4 linked regions of the Yarrowia lipolytica genome follow. The protein of the gene in region 1 binds, or shares a complex with, the protein of each later gene. Links are inferred from orthologs where the notes say so. Each region holds a gene or a part of one and is shown on either strand. Other genes may lie near its edges. The genes, in order: YALI1_D15333g, YALI1_E13823g, YALI1_E38113g and YALI1_F12422g.

Region 1 (4,436 bases):
GGGGTAACGGTTGGGAGGAGCGTGATATTGACGGAAACAAGAGCCAGTGTCGAATCATCCATAGAGACTATGCTGGATGTCTCGCTGACTTCTTGGAGACGTCTGGTCGCCCTGCAGATGTTGCTCTGGCTGAGGGAATGAAGCATTGCAAGATGAAACAAAAGTGGTTCTTGTTAGTACAGCATACTGGACGTAAGAGTGGGATGGGTCATGCTCAGTGATCATGGCGATGGGCGTTCACAAGCGCAGCTTGCAGCTTACCAGGAAAAGACAACAAGTTCATCAGGGCTTGTAACTAATCCTTGTGGTGATATACGGCTTCAATGATCTGATTGGAGGAATAAGCCGTCTTGAGAGACGGAGGTGATTCTACTATGTACCAGGACATACATACTATGCTGGTAGTCCATCTTTTTCTCTCACTGCAAATCAATACTTTATATCTGCAGACCTGAAGGATGAAGTCAAACGTATGTATCAAAACTCCAACTGGCGGAAAATGTAGTTAGACTGCCTGACAAGGTCCTGGAACTGCTCTTCATCAAACGATGGAGAATAGTGTTTGTTGGTGAAGAGCTCGGGACTAGGTGCAGGAATGACAACACATTCCTTGTACGACTCTCCACATCGATATGCCGTGTCTTCGTTGGTGTTGGGAGCCCTGGTTTGCTCTGTCAGAGCCATAAGGGGGTCGTCGACAATATGAAAGGAGCCCTTGGATATATAACAAACGGCTGAGCGAATTTGTCCCTCAGAATGGAAACTAGCGGTTTGTCACCCTTGCCAAAGCTTTCCATTCAACTGTTCTTGAGCAACGTGGTATTAGATAAAACACGATAAAAGAAACAAGTCTAATGCTTGGTTTTGACAATGATCTGGAAGAGTACCGACACTCCTACTTGTGTTGTACAGTATATCAAGTTATTGAATCTTCTCAATAGCCAGACGCCCTCTTACTCGCCATCTTTCTCATCACTCCCGTACCGAGACTCATGTTCCAATAATTACTTGGATGGACAGTTCCTTGTCATCGAAAGCATCGAAAGCTGCTTGAGGCGATGAGCTTTTTGTTTGCCTGATCTCGGTCTGAAAAAGATCGCAGTGTTGTATTGAACCGAGATATTCTATCTGGTATGCTCATATTCGGTATCCATCTTCGTACTTGTACATTTGATATTCCTGGATAGAAAAGATAAACTATTATGTAAATATTTAACTGGGACACTGTTCAGAATCGCCACAACTAACTGCTGCTATCGCGGCCATAGTACAAGCAACCAATAACTGCACATACTGTAGGAGTACATACATACCAGTGTAGTGGATATATCATGACCAAATGTCGATAACCCCCAGAAAAAACTACCACTGTGTGTCTAATCGTATACGTACGTACCCTTGCCGTTGCTCATCTAAATCTGCGATACCCCCCATGAGACGTCTTCGGATCTCATTCTGGTCGTTATCTTGTCCTTACACTGTAATTAGTGCGTTCGACAGAAAGCGTGAACGGCCCGAGCAATACGCTTGTGCGGTTTATTTTCTCGTGTGTGTGGAATATTATCTCGTGTGACAGAGAAGATACCATTGGTTTTACTATGTCGTTCAATCAAATGGTTCTGTACATCACGAGTAAGTCAAGGCTATTAATTTGTAGGAGGAGACTTCTGAGATAGAACTACAAGTATGTATCTTGTATTACCGCCGATGTTGTTATAACCAGATATATTAATGGCAATGGGTAAGGATACACCAGTGCATTGTTCAGGGCAGTTGTCCACACTGGTGCATTCGCTGGAGCCATCGTTGTGTGAGTGTCTCGAAATCCTCAGCCACTCTCTTCAACAGCATCTCTTCAACTAACCCTAACTACTTTATCAACTAACCATAACTACTTTCTCAACTAACCCCAACTACATGCTTAACTAACGAGTTATGCGTGCCGATCTAGTATACGCACTCCAAGTAGAATTCACGACGCCAAACATTCCAATTGGGTCTCAACTAAATCACCCAAATATCGGTACCCCTTCCCTAAGCTCTACAATCATGTTTGATGGCCCGTCATCTCGAAAGCCCTTGCTGCTCCTCTAAGTTTGTCAATCTACGCCCCTTGCACCGTCTACCCAGTGTCATCCGAAAATAAACTTTTCCACTGCACGTGACGTGAAAATTAGCATTGAACCATTGTAGAGAGTCCCAACAGTGCACGCAGAAATCGCTGAAAACCCACACACTCTTCAGAACCACAATGCTGCGACTTTCAGGAGTTAAGTCCGCGGTCCGTGCCCGGGCTGCCGCCGGCGCTGCCTTCTCTGTGTCCCTTTCGGGCCCCCAGGCCGTGTCTCTTTTGGCCTTGCCTCTCGTGCGACATGCCACCAAGCGAGCTGGAGGAGGTAAGACCAACCTCAAGGACTCTATTGGTCGACGACTGGGTGTCAAGGCCACCGAGGGAACCTATGTCCAGCCCTCGGACATCATCTACCGACAGCGAGGAACCAAGTTTTACCCTGGCGAGAACACATGGATCGGTCGAGATCACACCATCTACGCCAAGGAGCCTGGATACGTGCGATTCTACTATGATCCGTTCCACCCCACCCGTCGTTTCGTCGGCGTCGGTCTGACCCCTGAAGCCCGACTTCCCACCGACCACATGGCTCCCCGAGCTCGACGGTTTGGCCGAAATGTGATTTCCGACCCCAAGAGAGCCGAGGCCGAGCTCGCATGGAGACCCAACAAGGAGCAGCAGCTGCTGGAGGAGATTTCCGAGCGTCGGGCCGTCAAGCAGGCTGAGGAGCAGGCCCTCACCGACAAGCTGGCTGCCAAGCTCAAGGAGCTGGGCTTCGATAACAGTGAGCTGGCTGCTCGAGCCCAAAAGATGGCCCACTACCGAACTCTGGGATGGACCAACGCTGAGGCTGCTCGGTTTGCCGACGCCTTTCTCAACACTTCTTCTGACGTCAAGGACTTTGATGCCAAGTTTGAGGTCACCAAGTTTGGAACCGTGGTGCCCAAGAGCAGCCCCGAGACCGTGGAGAAGGAGCTCAACGAGACCCGAGACAAGCTGACCAAGGTGCGACAGCCCAACGCGTTCATCTCGCTCTCTCAGATCGCCAAAATCGACAAGATCCTCGACGCCACTGTCTACCTGAGCCAGAGCCAGAAGGAGCAGCTGGCCGACGAGTTCAAGGTCACCGCATCGCTTCTGGAGGCCGTGCAGCCCCACGAGGAGGTGGTCAAGGCCGCCAAGAAGGGCAAAGGCAAGCTGGTCAAGGTCTACAACGTCCAGCGAAAGGGTATTGACTATGTTCTTGCCCCCAAGGACGCCCACTTTTCCGAGGACATTGCCTTCCAGAAGGAGTTTGTTCACTAATTGTATATAGCTAGTAGTAGCAGAAGTTGCAGTGCGTTTGCATGATGAAAATGAAGTTGTTTTGAAAAATTATGTGGGTAACGTACAAGTAGCTGACTTTTGACCCTATCTTACGAGTGAGTGCATTGTATATGTTGCGCAACGGTTACATCTCTGATCAAAAGAAGAACCTGGGTTTAGGCAGTCATATCTTGTTATTGCCAGGTCACGAACATGCCGGTAGCTAACATACAGTGCCCTATTTACCGTTCCTACACTCATAATCACATACAAGAAGTACGTGGTGTAGTTAGACAGTGCGCAATGCTATTGGTATGCTCCTGTTTCTATGTCACTATCCCTCGTCGCTTACGGCAACGACTCCTCGTTTTTAGGGTCGAGCTTCTGGGCCTGTGATTGGGCCTCCAGATCTGCTACAAACTTCTGGGCCTCCTCGTTGCCCTCCATGACATATCGTAGACAAACCACTCCTCGTTCTTTCAAAAACGGATTGTTGGCGTCAATGTTGCAGCAGTTGAGAATTTCAGGGAGACCTCCTGCCTTCCAGATGAGACTCTGCACCATTGCCAGCTGCTGTTTCGAAGTAGCAGATGCAATTTGAAGAATGGAAGACAGAAGCTCAATAGTGGCACTCTTGACATGAGGGTAGTCCGTGACCTCCAGAACAGAAGTCTGAATCTCCTTGAGCTTTCGTTTGGCAGGGTACTCCTTCTGTGCAAAAACAAGGTAGTTGGTGACCTGAGTGATGAACTCGGGGTAGTCATGTTGAAGCTGTCCCGAGCAGGTGGGAAGCTTGGGCTCAGTGGCCAGGAGAACAGTGAGAGCCTCGAAACAGAACCGAATCACTTGTGCGGCGTTGCAGCTCTTACTTTCCGTATCTAAAACCAGCTTGAGTTCTTTCATGGAGATGGAAAAGTATGCAATGAACAAGTGTTCGAGATCCAAAGGAGTGGACTTGGCTTCTGTCTCGATGACTACCTCCAGGTCAACAGTGATGGCATCTTTAACAATAGCAACAATAACGGGGTATTGGTAGCTAGGAGATAGCCGTCCGGTCACT
Region 2 (3,926 bases), on another chromosome or scaffold:
GTGTCTGGTATTTGAAGGCATGCATTCCAATCTTCGAGACATTCTCAAGGAGTTTGGACGCAACCAGGGCATCAACATCCGGGCCGTCCGTCTCTACGCTCGGCAAATTTTCACTAGTCTGCAAATTCTGCGTGAATGCCAAATCTTGCATGGCGACTTCAAGCCAGATAATGTGCTGGTCAACGCCAAACGGTCGTCCACTCGCCTGTGTGACTTTGGTTCGGCCGTGGAGGCCAACAAGGACCAAAAGGCGTGGACGGAACCCATGCCGTACCTTGCATCGCGGTTCTACCGGGCCCCCGAGCTCATTCTGGGCGCGCCCTTTGACTACGGAGTCGACATGTGGTCCGCTGGATGCACTCTCTACGAGCTGTACACCGGATGTATTCTGTTTGCAGGCTCGTCCAACAACCACATGATCAAGTGTATCATGGACGTGCGAGGCAAGTTTAGCCACAAGCAGCTTAAAAAAGGCAAGCTGACGGAAAAGTACTTTGACGAGAACCTCGACTTCAAGTCCGACGAAGTGGACCCCCATACTGGACGAATGATCACACATACACTACGATACACACAAAACCAGGCTCCTCTGCCTGTCAAAAAGCTGCTGGGCAAATGCAGAGAGACCGGATCAGATATCATCCTACAGGGCCATCTGATCGATCTATTAGACAAGCTCTTTGCACTCAACCCCGAAAAGCGAATGACCCCAGAACAGGCACTCGAGCATCCCTTCTGTCATGATAGAGAGGCTGACATAGACCAGCTCGACCCCCAACACAAAGCATAAGATACAAGAGAGCAGCCACTTTGGGCATGTAAAATAGACGGAGGAAAGGCACGCATAGAAATAAGTTATTCCAGACTGTGTGATGTACACAGCTTCAATCAAGTTCCCAAGTTTACTGTAGCCGAGGTTGATGTTACCTTGCACCTTGCTGAATCTACTACAAGTATCCTTTTGACAACATTCAGGTTGCTTCTGTTTCTGTTTCCTGTTTCTGTTTCTGTTTCTGTTTCTGTTTCTGTTTCTGTTTCTGTTTTCTGTTCTGTTTCCTTTCACTCCCTTTTGCTTCCAGTAGTTGTGTTTCTGTTCATCCCTATAGTAATTGAGTGACTTCATACAAGTTGGTACAAGTTCTGTACTTATGAGTACTGTACTCGTACGAACACTTGTAGTACAACCGCTTGTTTGCCTCGTACAAGTACTTCTCACTTGCGCTCCACGATATATCGTAGTTAGAGATCGTCGGAGTGCCGCACAATTCAACAAACGAGCTTCTACTGTGTCACAACCGTTATGGTATAAAAGCCACTTGCACACCACCATTCGCTCCATACCTCTACTATGGCGATTCGTATCGGCCATTGTCCTTCGCTCTTTCACCATCTTTCGCTATGCTATAATTTACTATGTACATTTAAATCTTGTGTCGTGCCTTGGGGTCGGTATGGTAAGGAGACCAGATACCTCGGACACTCTCGTTTATACTTTCAACGGGGCTCTTCATCTGCTTTCGGGGAGCTCCGTCGGAGCTCTTGAGCATCTCAAACTTGCCGTTGATGAATCGGGGATGCTTGTTCTTGCAGCAGATGGTCTTCTCGGCACCGTTGACAAACTCGCCTCGGATGAAGGGGTGGCCAATGTCCTTGACAGCCACAAACTCGATCTCGGGGTTCTGAGCAGCAATCTTCTGCAGGTTCTTGTCCAGGTATTGTCTGTGTTAGTGTGATCTGAGACGCGGTGGATGTCTGAATTCAAAGACCAAACAAAGATGACACGTCACACCACACGCACTGGGTAGCATTCTGCTCTTCATCTAGCACCCCACTTGTGCCACTGGCATGTCTGTACCTCCATCTATGTCCGTGTCCAAGTCACAGTTCAGTTCCCCGTTGTGATACTCACCTCATTCCGTCGGAAGAGCCACCCCAGTTGCAGTACCGGAAAGTGACCTTCTTGCACTGAAGCACAAAGTTGCCGACACCGTTGAGGTTTCGGGCAACAGTCTGGTAAGCTGGTCGAGCCGACATTTTTGTGTGTTGAATGTAGATATTTCAGATTGATCTGTGCGTTGCGTTTAGGCTCCTGTAATTTTGCAAAGGTAGGGTAACTGTGGAGGCCCGAAGGGGGGGAGGAGTAATTCTTGGTAATGAGAGACAATTAATATGAAGGAGAGCATTTTAAATGGAAGAAAAACAACAATAGAGACAGTGTGGATTCTTCCATACAATAATTACCAATATTAGAAGAGCTTGAGGGGGTATTGATCTGCCCTTCAGAGTTCAACTAAGCCAAATACAGTTACTAATGTTGGGGCATTTATTAGTTAGCTAATTGTCAAACGTTTACTTAGCCTTCTCCCGCCTCTTTCGACTACCGCCACTGAAGTCATCAACAAGGTTCCAATGCAGAGCGAATCAAGACCAAGCTGAAGTCGTCTTGAACACCACAACTCACTCGCTCTCACGACAAAAACAATGCTGCGAACACGAGCCGTCGGAATCTTGTCCCGCTCGATCCACACCTCTCGGGTGTGTGCGAAAAACGTCAAGCTCGAAAACCCGTGGTTCAAGGGCGAGGGACCCATGGAGCGAACCAAGCGAAAGCTCGAAAACACGGCTGCTCGTCCTGGAGGAGCTCTGGCCGAATACGATCTCTACGGCGATCTTGAGACGGCCCACAACAACGTGGAGGCCGTGCTTTCCAACGGCTTTGTGTTCAAGGACGACAAGGTGCTCAAGAGCAAGTCTCCCAGCGGAAAGAAGCCCGTTGGAGCCATTCTGATGGGCCTTTCTGAGGTGCTGGCCTGGAACCTTACTCCCGAGTGCGTCAAGGGTCTCGATACCGGTCTGGTTGAAATCGATCCTGCTGCACTGGGTGTCTTTGAGGTTGTCTACCCTCGTCCTGAGCTGCTCATCTTCGGCCTGGGAAAGAAGTCGCGAGTGCTGTCGCCCAAGACCCGAAACTATCTCAACTCTCTGGGAATCTCCGTCGAGATCTCTGACAGTGCCAACGGAGCCAAGAACTTTGATCTTCTGGCCACCGAGCGTCCCGGTCTTGTTGCTGCTGCTCTCTTTCCTCCTGACCTGTGATTAGAAGGACAAAAGAGCAGCAATGTATATAGTAAAGTATTTATTTGTGTATCAAGGGGAGGGTGGAGACGGTAGTATGAGCGGATGGTCAGTATAGTACAAGTACAGTGTACTTGTTATTGCAAACAGCCTTGTAGCTCGCTGATTCTTCCTGGGGCACACTGTAGGTCTGAAAAACTCGATCACGTCTTGAAAAGTCTTCTTCAGAAGAATATATCCAAAAAAAAACCTAGAAAAACAAACTAGCGACGATATTCTGTTCGCTTTCCCCTTGTATTTACTTCTTCTCTACCTTTCTTGTATAACTCTCTTCAATCCCATCTCACTTCACCCTACTCACGATGTCAGATAAACTTCTGATGCACAACACTAATATTTCAAACCAACATCACGACCATCAACATCACTACACACACTAACAGCATCCATAATCATGGTGAGTATCTGCGCGACATTTGCTCTGCAATCAACAACAAGGCTAACCCAGGCTGAATTGGAACGGCTACCCCCTCACATCCAGCGGCTCTTCCCCGAGTGTCCCGAGCCACGGTACCTGGAGCCGATCGACTATGCTCCTGAGGACCGAAGAACGCAGAAAATCTCAGGCGTTTCGGCGTATATGGAGCTGTTGAAGCAGCCCGATTCGGAATACGTGCCGACCGAGTCGTGGCTGGTCAAACAGCAGCGAGAGAAGCGGCTAAAAAGTGAGCGCCAAAAGGTGACCCAGCAGGAACGAAAAGAGGCATGGGATCCCAAGAAGGACGACAAGATTGTGGGCGATCCGTTCAAGACGCTATTTGTGGCGCGTCTGGCGTTCGACGTGACTGAAA
Region 3 (4,559 bases), on another chromosome or scaffold:
CCATTCCCCCACTAACTACTTAACCAGCCTCCTTGTTTGATAACAACACGAGGATCAATAGAGTTAGTTACCCTACTTATATTTGTGCTCCCATTGGCCAACGGCGCATTGTCATATTTTACCTCTGCAGTCGGAACACACCACCACCACACATACTGAAGGTCCAATACCTCATACATTACACAACCGAAAAGATGTCTGCCACTCTCAACGTTCTGCGATGGTCCGCCCTCGGTGCCGGTGTCGTCTACGGCTTCGTTCACAACCGAACCCTCTACTCCCAGGCTGAGAAGAAGGTGGCTGATGCCAAGTTCAAGAAGCAGGAGAAGCTCATTGAGCAGGCCAAGGCCGAGTGGGCCCGACTCCACCCCGCCCCCGTCGCCTCCACCGGTGTTGTTACCGATATCTCTGACGACAAGTTCGACATTGAAGCCTACCTCAACCACGCTTTCCCCGAGAAGGCCTAAGCGTATTATTTATGCATCGAAAAGCTCGACGAGCATGTAATTAATTGACCATTTGGACAGGTTATGAGGCGAAGTGGCTTACCAGCGGTTCTTTTCCCTCTTTGGTGGCACGCCTTGCGCAGCTCCCTTCAATTTGATTTATGTATGTGACTTGAATGTGGGTTGTAGTTGAGTGTAGTTGGACACAGTATGACGTACTACAAGTACAAATGGTAGATGGAGCCTTGAATACCAGATACGAAAAAAGTTCTCCATGTTCAATTGATTTAAGCCACCCTTTAGATCTGATCTTTCCATGGTTATCTTACAATATAGACATGTTGATGTAACTCTTCACATTACGAATACAAGCACGAGGTGCTTGTTCTGATTCTGACTATATACACTTATCGGGGAACGTCCTCGCCAGTTCTGGACATTCCAAACACTCGGCCGCTTCCAAGGCCAAACTTCTCCCGCAGGCTCTCGGCAAACATGTCGAACCGGTTTCGCCAGAAGAAAGCGCCCACAGAGGTCAGCTTATGCTTGTCGGCAAAGCCCCGGATGTCGAAGAAGTCGGAATGCGAAAGAGAGTCCTTGACGTCACCGTCCTGTCGGAACACCCACAGAGACATTCGGTGGTCTCCAGAGTTCTTCTCGGGGGTGGAGGGCACATACTTGACCAGAGTGTCTCCGAGCTCGGGCTTCACAAGAGGCTGATCGACGGAAATGGGCACGTTGGACACGGCCCAGTGGACCTTGGTACCAAAGGACTCGGTCTCAGGGACGGGGTAGTCGGGATCAACCAGCAGGACTGTGTACTTGGCGTCCTTGGGGATGTCCTCGAATTCCTGGATCTCGACGATGGGCAGCTCGGAGGTGAGCTCGGTGGATTGCAGTGTTCCGGGAGTGATCCACTTGCCCTTCTCGTTGCCGGGGAAGTTGACTCGAACTCGAGCCTTGGCGTCAATCACGGGCATGGTGTCGGGAATGACATGCATGGTCTCTAGACTCTCGACCAGCAGAATCTGCTCGTACTTCTTGTAGTCGGCCTCGGCAAGATGTCGGTAGACGGGGTGATTCATATCGACATTGCCGTTCACGTGGTTCATCATCACCTGGGGGTTGTGGACCTCGGCCTTGCCCATGAGCTTGATGTACTGGTCCTTGAGAGCCTTGTCTCCAGAAGCCTCGAACTCCTTAGCAATCTCCTCGGCCTGCTTCTTGATGGCAGCGCTCTTCTCCTCGACAATCTTCAGAGCAGCGGGGAAGATTGCATCCAGACCAGGGGGACTCTTGTACAGAGCTCGCTTGTTCAGATCCTTGATGGAGGTGTGTGCTCCGGACGTGGAGCCGCCGGTGAGAATCTGGGCCAGCTTCTCGTCGGCCACCCGCAGAGTCTCGGCAGAGCCACTGTTGTTGGTGATAAATCTTGCTCCTCGTGGCGCCAGCCGAACAGTCGATCTAATCATGGCTGCTGTGTGTGAAGATGTGATATTGACCTGTGGAATTTTTCAGAGTTAAAACATGCACATTGGGAGGAGAGAGTGTAGGGATGGAGTGACAGTGATTCAGGTGGTGCTATAAGTACTAATAATGACAGATCAGCTGAGGTCGTTTCAAAGCAATAGATTTTTTCTGTGTCATTATTCAAAAGTGTGTCCTTGGCCAAGTAGTTTTCTCTATATAAGTACTTGTACCTTCCATATTTTTTCTTGAACATGTTAAGCTTACTAAGCCAATCATATACTTAGAATGAACTCAATTTCGGTACATGAGCGTACATACAGTAATGGAGATGGGGTGAGTGTACGAGGCGGCTTATTGCTGTAATAGTGATTTAAGAGTAAAAAACGAAAATATAAATATAATAATTCGTTCAGACTAACGATTTACTGTGATTTTATTATATTTATTAAAAATTCTCCTATGACACTTATTGAATGCCTAACAGCATCTCCCACTGCGCTTAATTCATGCTGAACTGACATGACGTGTGCTGTTCAAGTACAGCTGTAACTAACATTGAAATCACCACCACCAGCTCACAAGTTCGCCACATGCCATGTTGTTAAAGTCCCTGGCATTGATAGCAAGCTCGTCGCTCGCAGCAACCTTCAACATAGGAGACGATCTCTTTGCCGACCCACAATTCACAGTACAGTTCCACAACCGACCATTGCGACAAGCAGATGTCCAGAACGGCCTGCTACCGCATCGAGATCCGGTATATGGCCATCCCCTGGGGTACGAGATGATGCAATTCAACGGCACAAACCACATCTGCGGTATTCCGGAAGTCACGACCACGAAGAGCTCAAAATCACGAGAGGAGGGAGAACTGTCGCCAACAGAGGCCCGAGACAGAGCTTTGGAGCTCATGTTGCCTCTTCTGGGTGACTGTCTCTTCTACGAACAGGGATTCTTCTCGTATCGTTTCTGTTACGGCTCGGGAGTCGTTCAGTATCGAAGACATGGAGACAATTACTTCCCTCGAATCTATCCTCCTCCTCAGGCAGACGATTCGCCCACGTTCGTGCTCGGTAGCTTCGAGAAGGACGATACGACCAACACGGTCACCAGTGCCGGAGGAATCCCCTTTCTGGCCCATAGACTCCGTTCGGGAACCCATTGTCCTCTGACCGGCGCCAACCGAGAAATCGAGGTTCAGTTTGTATGTGACAAAAACGTCCAGCATGACCATATACTGTGGATCAAGGAGAAGCGAACGTGCAACTACGTCATGCAGGTCGGCACCCCGCGCCTCTGTAAAGACATGAGGTTTCAGCCTCCTCCAGATGAGTCTTTGCCCATCATGTGCTACAGCGTCGAGTCTGAGGCCCCCGAGTTTGAGACCATTGACGGCATGTTTGACGGCGTTGCTCACGTGAAGGAGGAGCAGGAGGCTGTCTCGGCTCGTGCCCACCAGTTTGTCGGATCCAATGTCAACAAGGACAAGATTGACGAGATTGAGGTTGCATGGAGATTCACCAAAGCTCGAGCTCTCAACTACATTGGAGTCTGGCTCGGCGACTGCGTCAATAGACAGACACTGTTCAAGGAGCTTGGCATTGCCACTCCTTCTCATGATGCTCCTTTCATCATCCAGACCAGATCCATGTTTGTTCCTGCTCCCATCAACCGCCACTTTGAGGTGCGTCTCATGATCACTCGTCAGCAGCTGCTGCTCAGCATTAACGATGATGATGTGACTCTCGAAGAGAAGTATGCATGGTGGCAGGAACAGGGCGACATGTCAAACCTGGAGATCCAGGGTCTTACTATGTTAGATGACGCTGGGATCGAGGATGTCCTTGCCAGAGCTACTGATGAAGTTATGAAGCAGCTTAACAAGGAGGCCAAGCAGTCCAAGAAGCTGGCCAAGAAGAAGGAAGCTGCCTCGACTAAGAGGGAAGAGGCCAAAAAGCAAGTGGAGGCCTCGGTGGAGGAAAAAGCTGTGGACTCAGCTGAAGATGATGGAACTGACACTGTCACTTCAACACAGACCTTCTTCCGGACTCAAACACTCTCCACAGCTGAGGCAGAATCTAAACAGATGCCAGATAAGGCCGAGGAGGACGAAGATGAAGATCTGATTGTCACCATGTACTTTGAGGATGGCGAGTTCAAGATTGAGGGTTTCGAGGTTGCCGACTTTGAGGGCGTCAAGTCTGCCATGAAGGATCTCGCAGATAAAGAAGATGACGATGACGATTACGAAGACTATGGTCTGAGCGACTAGAGTTCAAATACTCATATACTAATTCATGCATGATAAGAAATACAATTGGCCGGCTATAGCAGAGTCCTCGTTTATACCACATTTAAAACACGCGCTACGCTCCTACTCCTTACTCCTATCACAATAATCTATCAATACATAATTTACACGCTGACATATTACATACGCCAGACAATTATACATGTTTGCTTCCTAGGCAAACACTTCGTTATCACTGGGCTTTCGCCAGAACATTTTGCTGGCGGGCCGCTTCTTGGGACCAGGGATCTTTCCACTAGGCGGCAGCTTGGATCGCACATTTCGCTGCTTGACAGGCACCTGTTCGCCCTCAGGAATGACGTCGGCAACTTCAAGCTTGCCATGAAGGAAGG
Region 4 (4,067 bases), on another chromosome or scaffold:
ATGCACAAACTCCGAGGCGTCCTTGTGAGTAGCAGGAGACAGTTCCTTGACCTGGTCAAGAATGCGCTGCTTACATCGCTGCTTGTTTTTAATAGTGTCGAATCGGTTCACGACAATGAAAACATACGACTTTTCTCGAGCAGCAGCAGTGATAAACTCCTTGGCAGAAAGGGTAAAGTGGTTTTCGGCAGAAACGACGAAAATCACAAGATCAATCTCCTCCTGACGAGAAAACACTTGGGTGGTCTGGTACGAGTCCTTGTTGAGTCCCGGAGCGTCAATCAGCGAAATATCAATCACTCCGTTGTGCAACAGCGACTGGGTGATGGGTCTGTTATCTACGGTGTAGATTTTCAGAATGTGGTATCGGTCCACCTCATAGACCAGATCCTCGAGGTCGCCAAGCTTGTGCACCTCGTAGGAGGCCTCCGAGTTGCGGTTGTACTCCATTCCTAGTGGCACCGCATGAACTTCCTCCACATTGTCGTTTTCCCGCGCGTCAATCACCTCACAGAAGACGTTAGTACAGGGCTGCTGGTCTTCGGGCAGCAGATATCTTCTGAGAAGCGCGTTGCAGAAGGTCGACTTACCCGAGTTGACATCTCCGGTAATGAGCACCTTTGAGGCGGTATCGTCAATACGAACTCTCAAGTTGGACAAGTGCTTCATGCACTTTGTGATTCGTGTGTCGATGAGCACGCCTAGGGCTTCCTTGTCAAACTCGTGCACGTCCTTGGACGCTTTGGAGTCATCCACAATGGCGAGCTTGAAGATGTTGAACTCCGAGTCCACGGTGGGCAGTTCGTCGAACCCCTCAATGTAGCTTTGGCGTCTGTTCTGGGGAGCAGGAGTGATGTCTCGGGGGGCCTCGCCGAATATACTAACGTTCCGTAGTAGCTCGTTTCGGGGGTCTTGGATCGCCTGTAGGTCTGGAACCGGTGAGCTGTGTCTGGAAGAGGTGGCTGTGGGGGGCTGAGGGTTTGCCACTGGGGGGTAGTAGACCGGTCGGTCTCTGTTAACGTCCTGGAGCTCCCGTAGGATGCCCATCACGGCCGAGATACTTCGACCTAACGATATCCGGTTCTCATTGTACCGAAGCTGGCTCAGTTGGGCTTGTTGCATCTGGCGAGTCTCGCCACTGAGCCGTCGGTGCGAGCTGTCTGCGGCCTCCAGGGTCGAGCCATCAAACACAATGAGCTTCGACTTGTCGACCAGCTCGTCGGTGATGATGCTGCCGGACACAGAAGGCGCGTATCCCGAGTCATGGTCATTGGACCCTCTTCGGTGGTAGTTGTCGCTGTTGGCGTTGGAGTTGGCGTTGGCGTTGGACTCTCTGTTTCCGTCTTTACTGCTGCTGGGCTCTTGGCCCGGCGGGTAGTCGTACGGGTCTCTGTCGGACATGGCACACACGTTTCGAGGATATCCGTCTGATTTCAAAAGATTTGAGATGGTGAGTTAGCAAGTTACCCGGGAGAGATATTGGGACTGTTTAAGTTAGTTGCATAACTACAGTAAGTTGAAAGTCAACTGAAGAACCACTATAGCAGTGATGGGCAACTGGAAAAGGTGGCAAACAGAGACCGGGAGATCACGTGGGGGGCGGGCGGTCACGTGACCGGAATGGACGTTTCACAGCGCGCCCCTCTCCTTCCGTCCACATTCAGCTTTCTGTACTCTCTTTCTCATGCTGACGCTTGCAGTTGGTATCCACGTAATCAGCGGCTGAGATCAGGTCATTCGAAACAGCAAGGTTTCAGGAACCATCAAAACATGTGACCATACGAGGAGGTTGTTCTGGGGGCGTTTTGAGTCATGTGAGAGAATCAAAATGGCATTATTTGTTGCTAATTGAGTGGATATGGCACTATTTTCGTCTTGGGTTCTTTTTTCCCCCAAAAAAACGCACAATTTATCTCCGTCGGGGCTCTGATCTCGGGCGCATCGGATTTAGCAATGGCCTGTTTGGGCCTAATTTCGAGTTGAGTCGTAATCCCGCAGTGATGGTATTTTTTTTCTCGCAGTGATGTATTTTTTTCTTTTTTCCCCTCTTTTTTTGAAATAAACAATTTAATTGATAATTGCACTTGGGGTAAAGCAGATGTTAGAGGAGATTCGGGTTTTTATTGGTGGCTCTCACAAAAAAAAAATTCTTTTGAATTTTCGTACCTCCGTCTCCAATTAAATTGACCAATTTGCTGTTGATATCGGCTTAGTAATGTATGTCTTAGTTGGAATATTTAGTTGAATGATTAGTTTACTGAATGCATCATATTTTATGTATTGTGTATAAAAATATATATAATATGTTACAGTATATACAGTATATGTTATAAAAAAATACCCTAAGAAAAGTGAGAAAAAAAAAAGAAGAAAAAAAACATTACATTAACCGTGATTGCGGGTTCGATCCTCGAGCGCTAGATTATATCACATGCTCCGATTCTAATAAAACAAGACAATTCCGCCCCAAATATACGCCGTACATACTCGGTGGTATTTTCGTCTCTTGAATCCCCCCATTCACCGCCCCGCTTACATCATGTACCAATCTTCCAACTGAAACTTTTTCATACATACATCACCACTTCACACAACACCACACAAACACAATGATGTCGCTATTGAGACAGGTGCGGCACATGTCGACCGCCGCCAGCGCGCCCAGCGGGTTCCTCAAGGTGTCTGCCGAGCAGATCAAGCCCCTGCTGCTCGCCAACCAGCACATTTTCGCCAAGGTGCACATGCACAACAACGCCTACCTGGTGACCAAGGGCGACCAGATGCGACTGCCTTACCGGTTCAAGGGCCTCAAGGTGGGCGACGTGATCAACTTTGAGCACGTGAGCCAGATCGGCTCTCGGGATCACGTGTTCCAGGGTGACAAGTACATTTCCCAGGACCACTTCAACATCAAGGGCGTTGTGACTGCTCTCACTGCTGAGCCCATGACCACCCATGTTCACCATCGAATCAAGGACAAGGGTTACACTCGGACCCAGCGAAAGGTGCCCCAGACCATCATTCGAATTAGCGAGCTGGAACTCAAGGCTTAGAAGAGGAAGTTGAAATTACGAGTGGAGCGAGTAATTTGGTTCTTCTGCGTTATGTATATAGGAATGCATTTATTGCGTAAAGGAACGACACCGGGCGACACAGGTGCTACTGTCCAACGAGCACTGGCTATCATGTGCAGTTGTGGGTCGTGATCTACAACTGAGATCAGTATGTGAATGGAAGGCAACAATTGAGGTTGTAGTGAGGTCATTATATAGTGGGGGTATCGATAAAGTGTCTGGAGTTGAAAAGTTGCAGACGAATATCTCCATTTGGTATTTTGCTTGGTACGGTGAATTGATGATTGTAGCCATACTAGGTACCAGTGTGACTATGGAGGATGGGGGATCTAAGAGGGTCTAAGATCTAAGGTCTAGATCTAAGAAGGTCTAAACATGTTAATAGAGGTCTCTACAGATGCTGAGATACACGTGTCTAGTCACCATCTTCAATTACCGGTCAAATACTCCCCAATATCTCTCCCTCACTTCGTCACCAAATCTAAACAAAACAGTTGAGGATTTATTTGACTCGGTTGTCCCAGTTGGGTGCGGCTTTAACGAAGAGAGGACGGATTAATGTGGCTGAACTTGCTCCAAAAGTGACCTTTTTGGAACGGGGAAAAACGGAATTAACTCATAACCAGATTTATGACGCTTTGCACTCTTCACTTTCCCCCATAATCTCCTTCAACCCCCTCAACCTCTCTCGTTCTGACCCCGATAAACTTAAACTCCCTGCAAACACGAGACCACGCACTCCAGCATCTCACCACTACTTGTACAGTACAAGCACCCGTACACGGAACCATGGGCGAGTTCCATATCAACCTGATTCCGACGTACGACGACGCTCATAATCTCACGGACGATCTGCAGTCCGTGTCGTCGTCGCCGTACTCGGTGACCGTGCCCAAAAACCGACTTCGTTCGCGCAGCGACTTGTCTGAGGTCGCAGACCGATCTGTGTCCACTGGAGCTCTGGAGCGACTGGTTCCGAACCCAAACAAGATC

What was found.
Region 2: YALI1_D15333g (region 1) and YALI1_E13823g share a complex: the UniProt entries of both Saccharomyces cerevisiae proteins name them as parts of the mitochondrial large ribosomal subunit. The link is inferred for Yarrowia lipolytica from reciprocal best matches to the Saccharomyces cerevisiae genes MRP7 and MRPL51.
Region 3: YALI1_D15333g (region 1) and YALI1_E38113g share a complex: the UniProt entries of both Saccharomyces cerevisiae proteins name them as parts of the mitochondrial large ribosomal subunit. The link is inferred for Yarrowia lipolytica from reciprocal best matches to the Saccharomyces cerevisiae genes MRP7 and MRPL35.
Region 4: YALI1_D15333g (region 1) and YALI1_F12422g share a complex: the UniProt entries of both Saccharomyces cerevisiae proteins name them as parts of the mitochondrial large ribosomal subunit. The link is inferred for Yarrowia lipolytica from reciprocal best matches to the Saccharomyces cerevisiae genes MRP7 and MRPL49.

Annotation. Positions count from the first base shown.
Region 1 is NC_090773.1:1,531,086-1,535,521, forward strand, and holds YALI1_D15333g (mitochondrial 54S ribosomal protein bL27m), read left to right. Parts: upstream 1-2,251; coding exon 2,252-3,376; downstream 3,377-4,436. Other genes in the region: YALI1_D15304g (uncharacterized protein), read left to right, coding at 1-221; YALI1_D15345g (uncharacterized protein), read right to left, coding at 3,387-3,481, 3,526-3,637; YALI1_D15362g (uncharacterized protein), read right to left, coding at 3,725-4,436. UniProt on the Saccharomyces cerevisiae protein: Component of the mitochondrial ribosome (mitoribosome), a dedicated translation machinery responsible for the synthesis of mitochondrial genome-encoded proteins, including at least some of the essential transmembrane subunits of the mitochondrial respiratory chain.
Region 2 is NC_090774.1:1,380,406-1,384,331, reverse strand, and holds YALI1_E13823g (mitochondrial 54S ribosomal protein mL43), read right to left. Parts: upstream 2,035-3,926; coding exon 1,910-2,034; intron 1,720-1,909; coding exon 1,422-1,719; downstream 1-1,421. Other genes in the region: YALI1_E13848g (uncharacterized protein), read left to right, coding at 1-790; YALI1_E13818g (uncharacterized protein), read left to right, coding at 2,482-3,096; YALI1_E13808g (uncharacterized protein), read left to right, coding at 3,530-3,926. UniProt on the Saccharomyces cerevisiae protein: Component of the mitochondrial ribosome (mitoribosome), a dedicated translation machinery responsible for the synthesis of mitochondrial genome-encoded proteins, including at least some of the essential transmembrane subunits of the mitochondrial respiratory chain.
Region 3 is NC_090774.1:3,808,718-3,813,276, reverse strand, and holds YALI1_E38113g (mitochondrial 54S ribosomal protein mL38), read right to left. Parts: upstream 1,919-4,559; coding exon 854-1,918; downstream 1-853. Other genes in the region: YALI1_E38131g (uncharacterized protein), read left to right, coding at 195-467; YALI1_E38107g (uncharacterized protein), read left to right, coding at 2,512-4,188; YALI1_E38056g (uncharacterized protein), read right to left, coding at 4,381-4,559. UniProt on the Saccharomyces cerevisiae protein: Component of the mitochondrial ribosome (mitoribosome), a dedicated translation machinery responsible for the synthesis of mitochondrial genome-encoded proteins, including at least some of the essential transmembrane subunits of the mitochondrial respiratory chain.
Region 4 is NC_090775.1:1,240,748-1,244,814, reverse strand, and holds YALI1_F12422g (mitochondrial 54S ribosomal protein bL21m), read left to right. Parts: upstream 1-2,609; coding exon 2,610-3,053; downstream 3,054-4,067. Other genes in the region: YALI1_F12434g (uncharacterized protein), read right to left, coding at 1-1,401; YALI1_F12430g (uncharacterized protein), read left to right, coding at 1,621-1,703, 1,751-2,024; YALI1_F12365g (uncharacterized protein), read left to right, coding at 3,864-4,067. UniProt on the Saccharomyces cerevisiae protein: Component of the mitochondrial ribosome (mitoribosome), a dedicated translation machinery responsible for the synthesis of mitochondrial genome-encoded proteins, including at least some of the essential transmembrane subunits of the mitochondrial respiratory chain.